Linked DNA regions of Diceros bicornis minor. The protein of the gene in region 1 interacts with the protein of each later gene in a biochemical or structural test. Links are inferred from orthologs where the notes say so. Each region holds a gene or a part of one and is shown in the gene's direction. Other genes may lie near its edges.

Region 1 (7,512 bases):
CTCTCCTTGTCTCCCCTAGGATCAGCTTTGTTTTCTTGGGCGCATATATTTTCTTGCATTTTTAATTTGTCCCTTTCCACAAGCTCAGTCTACAGACATATCTTTCTATTCCCAGCCCTACCCTATCCCCCACCCCAGCTACCATTTGAGTACTTTCTCTTCATTGTCATATTTCTTGAAAAAGTGGTGTATGCTAACTACCTGCCTCTTTTTACTCACTTTCTATTCACTTCTCACTCACTTGAACTATGGTTTCCACTCCCTCTTCTCTCCTTAGATTTGCTCATCCTTATCTCTAAACATATGATACTGTTGCCCAAACTCTTTTATCTTAAAACTCCTTTGCGTCCATTGCCCTACTCTTTCCAGGTTGCCTCTTCCTTCTTCCATAATCTGAAACAGGCGTTTCTTGAGGCATTCTTTGTGTCCTTTTTCTTTTCTCTTTTAACTTTGTTGCTGTCATTTTCTGCAACCACAAGTCTCTTGCAGTTGATGCACAAGTTTAGGTCTAGGTGCCAACCTCTCTTTTGGGCAGATGTCCCATGATTTCATATACTTTAATAAGTATTTTTACCTGGCTGTCCCACCAACAATCCAACAACTGAACTTCAGCTGAACAAATCTGAACTTCCAGTTAGCACCTGTCTCTGTTATCGATATCATCCAAAAGCCTTTGACATCACAGCTTTCTTTTATTCCATATGCAATTATGTAGCAGGCCTTGTTGATTATTCTGGCACAACAATATTTGGGGCAATCATTTCTTTTTCAGTTTCATTGACCTATGTCAAGTCCTTGTAATTTCTCTCCTGGATTTCTGCAGTAGCTGTTTACCTAAGCGAATTTCCTGCTTCTAGTCTCTCCCCTCCCCAAAATAACCTGAATCAGTGTTCCTTAAAATTTTAACCTCCAGGAGTAAGGTTTCCAAATAAAAGATGAATAATTTTTTAGTATAAATATTTCCTATGCAATATTTGGAACATACTTACACTAAAAAATTCTTTGTTGTTTATCTGAAGTTCAAGTTGACTGGCCAACCTATATTTTTATTTGCTAAATCTGGCAACTCTATCTGGAGACACAATAAAACTGGCACATCCTCAGACCATCATTTTAAGTAATTAAAAAAACTGGCTTACTGTAATGATTAAGGTAACAGAAAAATTTGTAATAGTTTAAAAATTAATACTAGGAATAGTAACTGTTTAATATTGGTAAGCTGAAAACATGTGCAATAGGTCAGGCTTAATAATTGACTTAATTTTTATTTATACTAAAATTAGAAACTCTGAATTCGCAATGAGTTTGTCAGATATTGTAATGAGTGTTTGATGGCTACCAGATAATTCTGAATAACATGGATCTAGTATCATGGAGAGTTTCTTTCTTTTTTTTTTTTAAACACTCTGCTTTTATTTATTTATTATTATTTTTTATTATTTTTCCCCCAAAGCCCCAGTAGATAGTTGTATGTCATAGCTGCACATCCTTCTAGTTGCTGTATGTGGGACGCGGCCTCAGCATGGCTGGAGAAGCTGTGCGTCGGTGTGCGCCCAGGATCCGAACCCGGGCCGCCAGCAGCAGAGCGCACGCACTTAACTGCTAAGCCACGGGGCTGGCCCTCATGGAGAGTTTCTAATCGAAGACAGTTTTCAGTAGTTTGTCAGATTCTAAGTAGAAGAGCTTATAGCAACTTCAAAAGTTGAATGTTTCAACCTGGGAGAGAGCAGGAGTTCCACTCAGCCGCATGGTCTGCATTCAGCTCTGAAAAGCATTTTTTCCTACTCAGTTGCAACATTTGGATGTTGGTTTAAAATATATTTAATAATGTGTCATCCATTTCTTTCTCTGATGAAGAAAGGAAATTATCATGTATTGGGAAATAACAAACTCTTGGCAGTCAAGGCATTTGCATAACAGTCTGTTTTTCTTACACAATCCTGATACTTTGTTCTCAAGATTAAAAATCATGGCATTTAGAACTTGAAGTAATAAGTTCAGGTTAATAAAAATAATGAAAATATTGCTCAGATAAGCCATTTGAGCAAGCCTAATTGAAAAATAAAAATGGTTTTTGTTAGTATTATCTGTATAGTAAAGAAGGAAGTTTTACTTCAGCCCTTATTAAAAAACTTGTGGGAGCACCTTCCCCATTACTGGCCTCCATACTTCATCAAGGAAAAAGCAGTCTTCTAACATTTGTCTATTTCTTCTCAAAGATTATGCTTACTGGCTGCTATTTAACTATATTTATACTTTGTACTAATTTTTCCTATGTTGAATCAGAATCAGGAGAAATATTGTTTGATATCAACTTTTCTCTGAATAAAACAGAAAGTGGACTGATATTTTGTTTCTTGCAGGAATAACGTCCTTTCTACACCCGAAGCTACAACTCCCATAAGTTTTGATCCCGAGATACCTTTTTCAGATTCTCTCATCCCTCACAAAATAATTATTTTTTAAATGAAAATTTTTCTACATGAAAATGTCTTCTTCTGTAACTTGAATTTTTAATGATAAAACAAATAGGAAGTTTCTGGGCATTTTTCCTTATGTACCACATATATATATTGTGAAATGATTCATAATGTGTACATCAGTGGTGTCCACTTGTAAGGTAAACATCCGTTGGCAAGGACAAGGCTGATATTGCCCTTTCTTGTTGTATACCATGATTCTGTGTGATATTTGATTAGGGATTTCTGCCAAAAGCTTGTTATACTTTCTCCAAGCAAAATATTTTTTATTAACTTGGTAGCTAGTTGTACAAGCATCTCTAAAACAAAACGACTTTTACCAATTTTTAAATGAGGGATATAACTTGATCTTTTTTATCCACATATTCATCCATTTCATACTAGAAAACATTATTTTGCATTTATTCTGGAAAAATAGACTTTACTTGACAGCGAGGTTATTGTATCTGGTTAAAAAATGACTTGAAAGCTTTGATGGCTTTCCAAGTCACTGTTTGACAAAATTTCCTAATAGTCAAGGTGCAGCAGGCAAGGGACAAATAGATTGCTGGCCCAATAAAATCCAATTTTTAGATATTCATAGTTGTACTTCCTATTTACATTTTTATTTATGTTTTTGCTGCTTGGATGAACTTATTACATTTACAGGCACATAATTCATATTCTATATCTGCACTGCAGTGTTGTTTAGTAGCTAGCTACTTTTACTACATAATTTGGAATTGAAGTACTTAGTACTTTTTTCACTACTTCTTATGCTTCAATGTACTTCTTTGAGTGGATGATTTTTCTTTTTCCTGAAATGGTAATACAACATAACAAAACGGTAACAAAGAAAAATTTAATTTTAACAAATGTAAACAATAATATACAAATTATGTGAAAATACCTCTGTTGAGATAAACTGTACTGGTAACTAAATGAGGGAAATGGATCAATGTAATCTTTTAGTACACATACAACCTATAAGAACACAAAGATGCTCAATTTCTAAGATTGTAATTAAATTTATATTAAACAACTTGTGAAAGACATATAATGCTAAAACTGTAGTGCTAGAACAGGGGGATGGGTGGAACATGTTCCCAGAGTGAGACTCCTCGGGTTTGCCTCCCGCACCACTAACCAGTTGAGTATCCCTTGCTTAACCTCTTTGCTTCTGCTTCCTTTTCTGCAAAATGGAAATAGAATCTACCTCACAGTGTTGTTATGAGAATTAAATGAGTAAATACATAAAGCAGTTTGGACAGTGTCTGGCCTGAAGTGCTCAATGCTTCCTATATTAGAAAATAAATCTGTGCAGTCCTCACCCTATCACTTCTCTATTAAAAACCCATCATTAGGTCCCTATCATTGACCAAAGGAAGTTATCCCACTCTTAATCAAAATATCTTCTTCATACATCGCCTCCTATTTTGGCTGTCAGTATCTCCCTCGCCAGACCGTAAGAGCCCAGATCCTCTTCCACTATCAGTTCCGTGGCAGGCATTCAAAAATTAGTTATCGAACTTTTTTCACGAGGGACAAAGGTCCTTAAAAAAGGAAAGAACTCTAGAAGCGATTACAAATCACCATGTGAAGTTTACGCATTAGAGCACTTAAAGAGGATTTACAAAACAAATTGTCTGCAGACTGGCCAACCACGCGAATCCACCACCAAGCCAAGCTTTTTAGTAAAATTGTTTCTCACTGACGTCACTCTATCATTGACCTCTGACGCACAGGAGGCGGGATTATGGAGACAGCTGGACTTCTTCCTGCTCCTCCCTCCTCCACCGGACCGGCTGGCGCAGTGGCCAGCCTGCCTCTGGTCGATTTGGTGTTTCCATTGGTCAGTTTCCCAGAGGAGGCTGGCTGTGGGGCTGACTCCGCCCCCCTGTGGGCGGGGTCTCTCCGCTAAAGGGGCTGGGGACGGTGGGGGGGGTTGCTGTAGCCGCCATCTTGGATTCCGCGGTAGCGGTGGCGGCAGTAGGGCGCCGCGTCTGGGGAGTGGCTCTCCCCTCCCCCTCCCCCCGGGTTCGGTGGCGGCGGCCCCTCCCCCTGGGGGGGTGGTGCGACGGCGGTGGCATCTACGGCCATGGCGGCGACTGCTGCTAACCCCGGTAAGGAGACGGAGGACTGGGGTGCCTCTAAAGGAGGACGTGCCGAGGGGGTTGGCAACTCAGGAGACCAGGGCTGAGGGGCCGTAGTTGGGGCTGAGGGCGCTGGGACGCGCGGGGGTGGCGAGGGGGCGGTGGGGGAGGGGAGTGACCTGAGGGAGGGGCCGGACTCTGGGGAACTGGAGAGACCCGAGGTGGAGGGAGGGAGCGGGCGGGTGGGAGTTGGGGGTTCCGTGCCGCGAGTTCTGTTGGAGCGGCTGCCCGCGCTGCGCTGGCCCGCCTCCACTCTTCTGGCAGCGTTCTGGTGTGCGATGTGGTCCTGTTTCAACCCTCTGCCCACTGGAGCTGCTTGATGCCGAATAACTGTGGGCAGAGTGGCTCGTTTCACTTTAAAAGTAGTTTGGATTCATAAACACCGGACCACGTTGCTATTTAGCGGAGGTGTTACTTCCAATCGTTTAAATATTTAGACTTTAAGTTAAAAAAATCTTTGAATATATACTCACCGTTTCTCTAGGCTATGCCTCCCCCCCCCACCTCCCTCCTCTTAATCCCGGGCTATACTTTGAAACTTGAGTTTATGTATTGAGGTGCCTCTAGTGCCTTTAGCTGCTGAGGGCCGAGGTTTGTGTAATGGTTGAGGTTCAGGACCGGTCTTGCCAACAGCAAGCATCCAGAAAACCAGGTTTAAATCTTGTTAGGTGTGGGTTGAGGCACTTCCCATTCTTTAAGAAAAGTTCAGTTCCATGCCATTTCTCAATGAACCATCTCTTCAAAAGGGAGTGCTTGAACATTTCAAAAAAATTTAGCCAGTCATGTCTAAGAGATGGAATGGGGTGTAGTGCAGCAGGTCTAGACAGATAGGTCTTCAAATTCCTAGTCCCAGTCCTTTTCCCACTATATTACAGTTACTTCTCCTTGGGAAGTATTTCATTTTAGGGGTCCTAGTTTACCTTGGTGACGTTGGCCATTCTCTTGCAAAATAGAATGCTTTCCCAGAAATCCATTTCTTTGATAGCCTTACAAAAGAAATGAATTTCGAGGTGGGGGCGAATTTCTTGAAAATACAGCAGTGGCCTGGAGGAATTCACTGCTGTTCCGACGTTGAAATTTAAGTTGGATTTTTTTTCCGTGTCTCTGAAAGGCAGTATTATTTTGCAATAGCCAGATTTTGCTGTTACAGTTGAATCACTGTGAAATTTATTGTCCTTCCTACTGTGTTTCTGGGAACAGACCTATTTAAAGAAGTTAATTTGTCACGTGGCGATATCATATTTTTAAATCGTTTTAGTTTTTTTAGAGGAAAAGGAGATAAAATTAATTGCTAAAATTCTATTGCAGGAAGTGCTGAGTGATGGAATAAAATTGGAAAGATGCTATTATTATGGCAGACCTGACTGTGTAGTAAAATAACCTGTTAACTAGGGAGTAAATAAACAAGATTTTAAACTGACAACACATTGCAAAACACTTATATAACCCTAGTCAAGTTGCAAAGTATTTCTCTTATTAAGAGGTGGCCTGCGTAAACAAGTTTAGTGCATATGTCAGAAGCTTTTTCCAGCAGTGTGGGTGGGGTTGCTTTATTTTGTTTTGCTTTTTAAACAACAGTAACCAGAATGACAGTGTCTTGACCACATTTTCATTAGCTGATCAATATCAGCTAAATCTGTAAGCAGAAAATAGCATTTATTTGTGTAGAATACTTGCTAATGAAACAGTTGATTTTGTTTGTTGTCCTTTAGCAGCCTGCTTCTGCGATTTCTAGATTTCTTTTTTGATGTTGAAAAATTCTTCCATCTCTTCCAAGTTATTGATCCCACATTCAACACATGATGATTAAATCAGAAAATGTATTTTCTTCCTTCATTTCTCCTTTTACCCCTTTATATCAGAAGGAGGAGATCATAGATGTATTGTGGACTTTTAGTAGCCTGTTGCATTTTGGGAAATGAGGACCATGACTGGAGAGACACAGGGTGGAAATGTACTGTGCTCAGTGAAAAGAAAGTAAATGGTTTTCAGGTCAGAATTCTGTTGCATGGTCAAACCTTCTTTCCTTAAAGCTATTTTGGGTGCTAGGGACATCTTACCTATTTCTTTGAGTTTTTTCTAATTTCTTTTTCTGGTTGTTAAGTTTCCCTACAGTTCTGTCTTCAGATATGTCTGCAAAGGATTTTTGTAGTCTCTAAGCTTCATTTGAGTTAATCGTTAGCGTTAATGACAATGCTTGATGATTGTGTTAATTGTACTCAGAATATGATTTAGAGACCATGGGTGGCCCTTCAGTGTCTTGCAGGGGATCTGGTTCCTTTGCATTTTTCACTGTGTCTTAACATGGTGCTGGGTCAAAAGAAGAGTAAGACATGGTTTATACTGTACCCTCCAAGAGTTATGTTGAAGTAATAGTTCTAATGTGATGATGGCTTTTTTTCTGTATGAATTGGTAATTCTTAATATTCTATTATTTTTCTCTAATTCTACTTACCATTGGCAAGTAGAAGTGGATGGGTAGATGGTCCATGAAGTCTTAGGCTGTATCTTTCTTGTTTATGGAATACTAACGATTTTGAGGAACACTTTTTAAATTGCACGTGTGATTTGTAATGCATTGGCTAAGGCGCTGGTTGGGAAGAGGTTGGGTATTTGATTTATAATTCAATATTCAAACCAGAGCTGTGAAGGAGTTTGTAGGTGGGTAGGTTTTTCCTCTCTTGATTCTGGTGTTCTCATTAGTGGAGATCTCTTTTTGTGCTATTAGGGACCATTTATTGTGGATGGAGAATGTGGTAGAAGGCAAAGAAAGGAACACTATTTGGGTTTGTAAGGCTGACATTTAGGAAAATTTTTCTTTTCACACAATTTTCACCTATATAAATTATAGTTTTAAAAGCATCAATTAACAAAATTCTTTATTTTATTTTATTTATTTA
Region 2 (7,216 bases), on another chromosome or scaffold:
AGTGAGAAGTCAGCTGTCTACAAGGCAGGAAAAGAGTCTTCATCAGGAACTGATTCAGCTAGCACCTTGATCTTGGACTTTCCAGCCTCAAGAACTGTGAGAAATAAATTACTGTTGTTTGTGCCACCCAGCCTATGGCATTTTGTTATGGCAGCCCGAGCAGACTCTGACACCTACTTCCCACAGAGCCCACAGTTTGGAAACACTAGTAACAGCCTACAATATCTGACACACCAGCTGCTTCTGCATGTTTGAAAGCACCCAGCAGAGTGCCTGGTACACGGCATGCACTCAGTAAACACTAGCCATTATGATTTTCTGCAAAAGCATCTTGTTATATTGGAAAAGACATGGGTTTCAGAATAAGTTTGGTCTGAGAGACCTTGGGCAAGTTACCCTGAGAGTTTCAGTTTCTTCGTCTGAAACATTTGAGAGCACCTTGCGTGGTGGTGTGATGGTTTGATGGGTGAAAGAGCCTCTCATATAGGGGACACTCAGCTAGTGGTAGCTCCTCAAAGCATTCCACGAGTCCAGGACCAGCTTCCCTTCACCATGTATTATATATCAGGCACTGGGCTAGAGAAGCAATACCAGAGTTAGGCCTTTCACAAAGGAGAAAAGAGACTTTAAACTTCAGGAAGATAGGATTCATTTTGTAGCAGCTCCTTCCACGCCTCTAGAGAGCCTTTCAAAGATCATTTCAATCTTCCCCAGCCCCAGTCAGGAGTTCTCTGTAATCTGAAAACACCAACAGTCCCAAGATCTCACAACCTCACTCAGAAGTATTCTGTAATCCCAATAACTGTCACTTCCACGGGTATTCACAGTATTAGTCCCCCTGTTAAAAAAAATTGTCAGTGGCTAACTCCCTATTCTTGATGCGAATGAAGTCCAAACATTATAACCTGATGTATTAGTGGTTAGAAAAACACTAGCTACTATACGGCCCAAAACTTTAGTGGTGTAGCAAAACAGAAATTGATTTATTAGTTAAGTGAAGTCCAAAACGCATGTTCCTGATTAGCGGGCCATTCTCTGCCAAGTGGTGATTCAGAGAACTCGGTTCCTTCTAACCTCTGTCCCCACATCTTTAACATTTGTACTTTCAAGGTCACTATGCTTAAGATCATACACATCAAGCCAAAAAGGAAAGGACATGAAGGATCTCCCTTGGGAGGTTTCATGGGCCAGGCCTGGAAGTGGAACATGTCACTTAAAGGGAAACTGAAAAATGCAGTCCAGCTGTGTGTCCAAGAAAAAGAAGGAAAGAGATTCTGATAAACACATGGCAGGCTCTGCCTTGCTTGGCATTCAAGATTCTCCACACTCTAGCTGAAACTTACCTTTCAAACCTGATACCACTTACCTTTCAACCTTGACACCATTAACCAGGTATGGCTATGAGTCAGCTTTGCTGCAACATCAACCCCAAATCTCAGTGGCTTACAGCAACACGGTTTATTTCTGACTTTCGTGTACGTAGGCTGTGGGCAGGCTGCAGCTCTGCTCCACGGCTCTTCTCATTCCAGGACACAGGCAGAAGGAGCAACTCTCATGTGAAATAGGCCCATTCTAATGGAGAGAACAAGAAAAGGAAACTCACATGCTCAGACATGGCATGAGTCACATCTGTTCACATCTCATTGGTCAAAATATGAAACATGATCAAGTTCAAAGTCAATGAAATGAGACATATACTCCTTCTACAGAAGATACTGCAAGACACGTGGCAACGGGCAGGGAAGGAGAAAGTAAACACTTTCAAACAATAAATCAATCTACTACAACTGCCATCTTCCATCTGGAGTACATGACAGACATTACTAATTAATCCCAGCACTCTTGCCTCAGAATCCTTCTCAACACAACATTGGGCAGTCATTACCAATAATCTGAATTTGAAAGAAAAAAAAGTTGAAATTGATGCACTGTTCTTTTTTTTTTTCCTTTCTCCTCAAAGCCCCAGTAGATAGTCGCAAGTCATAGTTACATATCCTTCTAGTTGCTGTACGTGGGACACGGCCTCAGCATGGCCGGAGAGGCAGTGCGTCAGTGCGCGCCCGGGATCCAAACCTGCGCCACCAGTAGCAGAGCGTGCACACCCAACCGCTAGGCCACCGGGCCGGCCCCATGATGCCCTGTTCTTATGTGACCTCCTAGCCTCCAGTAAACCTGTGAACCTTTGCTTCAGCCTGAAATGAGCTTATCCTTCCTAGACGTTGTCCTGCCAAACTATCCAAATCTAATCCATCCTTCAAATATCTATATTTTATATTCATTCTTTCAGCAAACTGTATTGAATACCTAGCATAGTGCCTGACACATGTATTTGTTCAATGAATCTGTTTCACATCAACTTGTGCCTTGCACATAAATGCAAGGGAACATTCGTCCCCTTATTAATTAATAGCACTGTTCCTTAGAACAATCAGTGTTAGTATCACATACCAGGAGTTTCTGGGGTGGGAGTATGGTGTATTGACTAGTTGTGCTTGAATCCTGATTCTACCACTTACTAGTTGGATGACCCTAGTTAAGTCACTTAATTGTCTGCACCTCAATCTTCATCATATGTAAAATGGGGATAATAATAGGGCCTACTATATAAGGTTGTTGTGTCAAATGGAAAAATTCTTAGCATAGTTTAAACACATTATAAGCACCCAGTAAATGGAAGTTGTTATTATTTTTAGCTCCAGCTGAGACTGAGTTTTCTTCCAAGCTTTTATTCTGGGTGGAAGACAAAAACCAAGAACACTTGAGACTTGCCTCCCTGAACGAGCCTCACTCTTAACCCACTCTAGACCTTGAGCCGTCTCCTCCCCCAGCAGCCTGTTTTCTAACTCATAAATCCTGACTAATGACACAGACATGTCACCTTAATGTTTGTGAAGCCCAGTGACTTATTGTTAAGTGCTTGGAGATCTTCAGATGAAAGGGACCCAAGGGCAGGCACAAGACACCCTATTCAGTCATAAAAGCAAAATACTACCAAAAAACATGGGAAAGGCAGAGGCTCCATAACTTAGTGCAGCAGGGAATTAAAGCAGGTACCAGGAAGAGCAAATCAATCCTTAGACTGTAATTCCTTAATACAAGGACAGGGAGAGAGATGGTTTCAAAAGCCTCAGACGATCTGGAAGGTCCCAGGGAAGGAGGGGTGGGGCATGATGCCCCAGTGTTTAACGGTGACTTGGGGTATGGGAAGAGTATGAATCTTTCACACACACACACACACACACACACACACACACCCGATAAAAACAAGAGCAACAACATGTATTGTTATCCTGATTAGCTTAAGCCAGTTAAAAGGCTTGGGCAAACCAGCCCCTGTAAGTGGCTTGTTGGTGAGCTGTGACCGGCCCTGAACTATGCCAGGCTCCCCTTTCAGCTTCGTTCTTACTTCACCTCCCCCTACACACACACTTCAGACAATGGATCCTCTTCCTCGACCTAGAGACCACACTACGGCAGCCCAGTCCAGGTCCCTGGCACTGAAACTCTCAAGTTGGAAAAAAAATAGCCAGCAGTACACAACACACAGTTTTTACAGGGGCTGTCCCTGAGGTTGACGCAAAGAAGAAACTGCTAGCGCAGCCATCAGTTCCCCGTCCCCTCAATGGTAGCGGCAAAGTTCTACCATCTTACAGATGGAGTTCCACCATCTTACAGCTTTGCTACTTGAGACTGCTGCCTTAACCGTTCTGAGCTTTAGTTTCTTCATCCGTAAAATGCGTATTACCAACCTCACACGTTGTTGCGAAAAGTAAACGGGAGCGTGAAGCCGAACACGCTCCGCCCCCTGCAAAGCGCTACACGCACAGGAGGCGTTAGAGCCGTAACTCCTCCCCACCCCCCAACCACGCACGTTACAAACCAGTAGTCACCACTAATACAGCCGGCCCTCTCCTAAGGAATCATGGGCCGTGAAGTCCTTTGGTGGACATACCCTCGTTTACCATCACGGAAGTGAGAACTACGCCTCCCAGGATGCCGTGGTGAGGCCGCCTCCACGGCCGCCCTCTGCTCCGCCCTCCTTGCGCACAGCCTCCTGGGTTGCGTAGTCCCAGATCCGAGCAGGCTCGCCGGCAAAAGGACGCAGAGGAACCACAAACCCCAGAAGCCCTCGCGCCCACTCTTCTCCCTCCCCACCCCGAGTCGGAGTGCTGTTTTTGTTGTTGGTGAAAGGTGAGGGAACAGCTGATCCGTCTGAGGGGTAAGAAACTTGGCCTAATTTGGGGGTGATCTTATGGGGGGTCACCCCGCTTTCCAGTCTGTGAAAGGATAATCTAAGGGAGCTGTAGAAGGGGGATAGAGGAGCGTTTGGGTTTTAACACTTTCCGTACTGGAGAAGCCACCACTACTGTTTTGGGGAGTTCTTGGCCTCAGGGGGGCCCTGATCAGGGGGTTGCCCCCTCGCTGTTCTCACGTACCTCTCAGTCCTTCTCTGTAAAGCTTGATACGCTCAGGGGAGTTGGGGGGAGGTGAAATCTTTGTTCATTTTCTCCCAGGCACGGGTTGGCCACCACAAACCTTCCCTTTCCCCTTACCTCCCGTACCCCATCCGAAGGCCTTTACTACGCTGAATCCCTGGAGAAAAAACATTCCAAGCTGTAGAATGTCAAGGAACTTTAGAGTCCTACAGAGTGGGGGGATGGGACCCCTTTCCTCTGAACACCTGAATCTCACCACACACATACACTTTAGGTGCCCAGAGCTTTCTTTCAGGCCTGGGGAATGTTTCCAGCTGTTATGGATTTTATTTGTGGGGCATATTTGGGGTTCCCCCGGCTTAGATCTTTGGGGACAAGTCATTCCTTTAGAAAGCCAGAAGAATCGTATTTGGAGAAAACATGCACTAGTTTTAACTAGGGATTTTTCAGAGAAATGAAAAGCCAAAGAAATCTCTTGTCCTCAAGTCAGTCTCTATTTTGGAGGGAGATGTTACTCCTTTTTGCAGAGCTTGCCCACCTTTCCTTCTGTACTGAGTTTCTGTCTTCTTTTAAAGTTCCTGCCCCCCTGACTTCAGCGTGGTGTGGGTTTGTGATGTTTGGGGGCATGCACATGACTAGTGGCCATGGCTGATTGGACACTGTCAGGTGCTGCTGACACAGGGTGAAGGTTAGGGGGCTGGAGAGGAGAGATGAGAGGGCCATCTCACAACTCTGGGCTGAGGAGTTCTCTTGATTGTTATTGTTATCTTTCCTCACCCACCCCCAGATTTTCCAATTAACTCTCCCCACCCAGTTTGGGACACCTCTCCCTCTCAATCCCATCCTATAGCATGCCTCCCACTACCAATCCAAGCAGATGGAAGGATTCAGGCACTTGGAATTGAGGCCAAGAGAAGGAGAGAGAAAATGGGGAGGGAAATACTAGGGCTGGGTTAACATACAGTCAAACCAGTAGGTTTCTAGTCTTGCTCCAGGCAAGACCTGAAGAGAAGAATGTTAGGTTTTTTTTGAACTCTCTCCTCCTTCTCTCAACACTATATATACATTTTTCCCTTCTCAGAGCCTCTTACTTCCCACCTTCCAGTCTGTCCCCTGGCCAGGGGCAGGGCTTTCCTGGCTCCAGGCCCCCACATTCCATCGCCCCACAGCACCACGTTCCTGCGGAGTGTTGCACTCCACCCTTGAAGCAGCCGCCTCCAGAATTCTTGACTTCCTGGAGTAATGAAGTTGAGGGACAGGACCTGTCTTTCTTTATATCCTCCCTTTCCCTTTGTGTCTTGGATAAGAACAGAAGCCTTTTTTTATTCATGGGGGTAGACAGCTCAGAAAGAGGGAGAGGACAGACAGCTCAGGGGCCTGAAGATTGGGCTCTTGTCCCCCCAGCCATATTCCTGCTCTGAAGACTCAATCATTGCTTTCAGAGGTTGTTGCTGTTTTCAGGTGTCATAAGTCATTCCTGGGTACAGCTGGAGTGGGCGAGGAGATCTGCTCAGAATGAAGGGGCCCCACACCTCAGTTGGATTTTGAATTCAAGAGCCAAAAGATGTGGGGGATGGGACAGGGAGATGGAGGCTATTAAGAAGGACATTAAGAGGTGGAAAAGGAGGGACTGAGCGGGGCAGAGCCTGAGACACTGAGACTTGGTCAATGGGGCTATGAAAAGGGAGCAGAAATTAGAGAGATCTTAACTCTAGGAAGAGTCTGTGACTCAGAGAGGGTGCAGTGAGACAGGGTGGGAACTGACTCAGAAGACCAGACCTCTGTCCTGGAGACTAAGGATGATACCTCTAAAGATTCCTGTAACCCTCAGGGGCTGGAAAGCAGATATGCCTTCATCTCCAGGTGTAGTGGCAGGGCTGTGGGTGGGTGAGGATGGAGTTAGGGAAGAAAGAGATGGAGTGGAGAGACTTTAGGATATTAACCCTTTGTTTCATAGGAGGGCAGATATCTCAAGGGCAGGATGGAAGAATCGTCACTAAGCCGGGCACCGTCCCGGGGTGGAGTCAACTTTCTGAACGTAGCCCGGACCTACATCCCCAACACCAAGGTGGAATGTCACTACACCCTTCCCCCAGGCACCATGCCCAGTGCCAGCGACTGGATTGGCATCTTCAAGGTATCCCTGGAACCCCTATTGGCTCAGGTTCATGGGCCATGGGTTGGTCAGAATAAGGGGAATGACTAGGTTCTTGGATTCTCAGCCTCATGTTGATAGAGAAGTAGGGAGAAAGATGTCACAGATGACAGAGGCCATCTTCTCCTCGTCTTAGCCTTGCTCTCTCCTGACACATTAGTGTTCCTCCACTTTCTCTGTCTCTCATCATCCTTGCCACCATAACACCATCCTATCCTGCCATTAACTCCCTCAGCCCTTTCTGCCATCTGCAGCTGGTAGTTCCACTGCCATACCGCTCTCCCACTTTGGGCTCTCACAGGTGGAGGCTGCCTGTGTTCGGGATTACCACACATTTGTGTGGTCTTCTGTGCCTGAAAGTGCAGCTGATGGTTCCCCCGTCCATGCCAGTGTCCAGTTCCAAGGTACGAGGGAAGATGGAAAACCAAAGGGAGGAGCCAGGGGGATGGAGATTTGGAAGAAGATAGTGGGCTCAGAAGCGTAAAAGTTAGGCATAGAGGACAAAGAAAAATAAGTGCAAATAAATAAAATAAGAAATACATTCAACAGGGCTCAGCAGACATAGAATCATGGGATTATCACAGAATCAGGGATTTAGAGATGGAAAGAACTGTAGAGGGCAGCT

Evidence for each region.
Region 2: the proteins of ARNT (region 1) and CALCOCO1 form a complex in vitro, tested with the Homo sapiens proteins (2 studies listed by BioGRID, with this or other methods). The link is inferred for Diceros bicornis minor from reciprocal best matches to the Homo sapiens genes ARNT and CALCOCO1.

The regions. Positions count from the first base shown.
Region 1 is NC_080743.1:55,242,963-55,250,474, reverse strand, and holds the start of ARNT (aryl hydrocarbon receptor nuclear translocator), read left to right. Parts: upstream 1-4,458; 5' UTR 4,459-4,557; coding exon 4,558-4,582; intron 4,583-7,512. UniProt on the Homo sapiens protein: Required for activity of the AHR. Upon ligand binding, AHR translocates into the nucleus, where it heterodimerizes with ARNT and induces transcription by binding to xenobiotic response elements (XRE).
Region 2 is NC_080756.1:16,604,585-16,611,800, forward strand, and holds the start of CALCOCO1 (calcium-binding and coiled-coil domain-containing protein 1), read left to right. Parts: upstream 1-4,148; 5' UTR 4,149-4,219; intron 4,220-6,393; 5' UTR 6,394-6,417; coding exon 6,418-6,573; intron 6,574-6,892; coding exon 6,893-6,995; intron 6,996-7,216. UniProt on the Homo sapiens protein: Functions as a coactivator for aryl hydrocarbon and nuclear receptors (NR). Recruited to promoters through its contact with the N-terminal basic helix-loop-helix-Per-Arnt-Sim (PAS) domain of transcription factors or coactivators, such as NCOA2.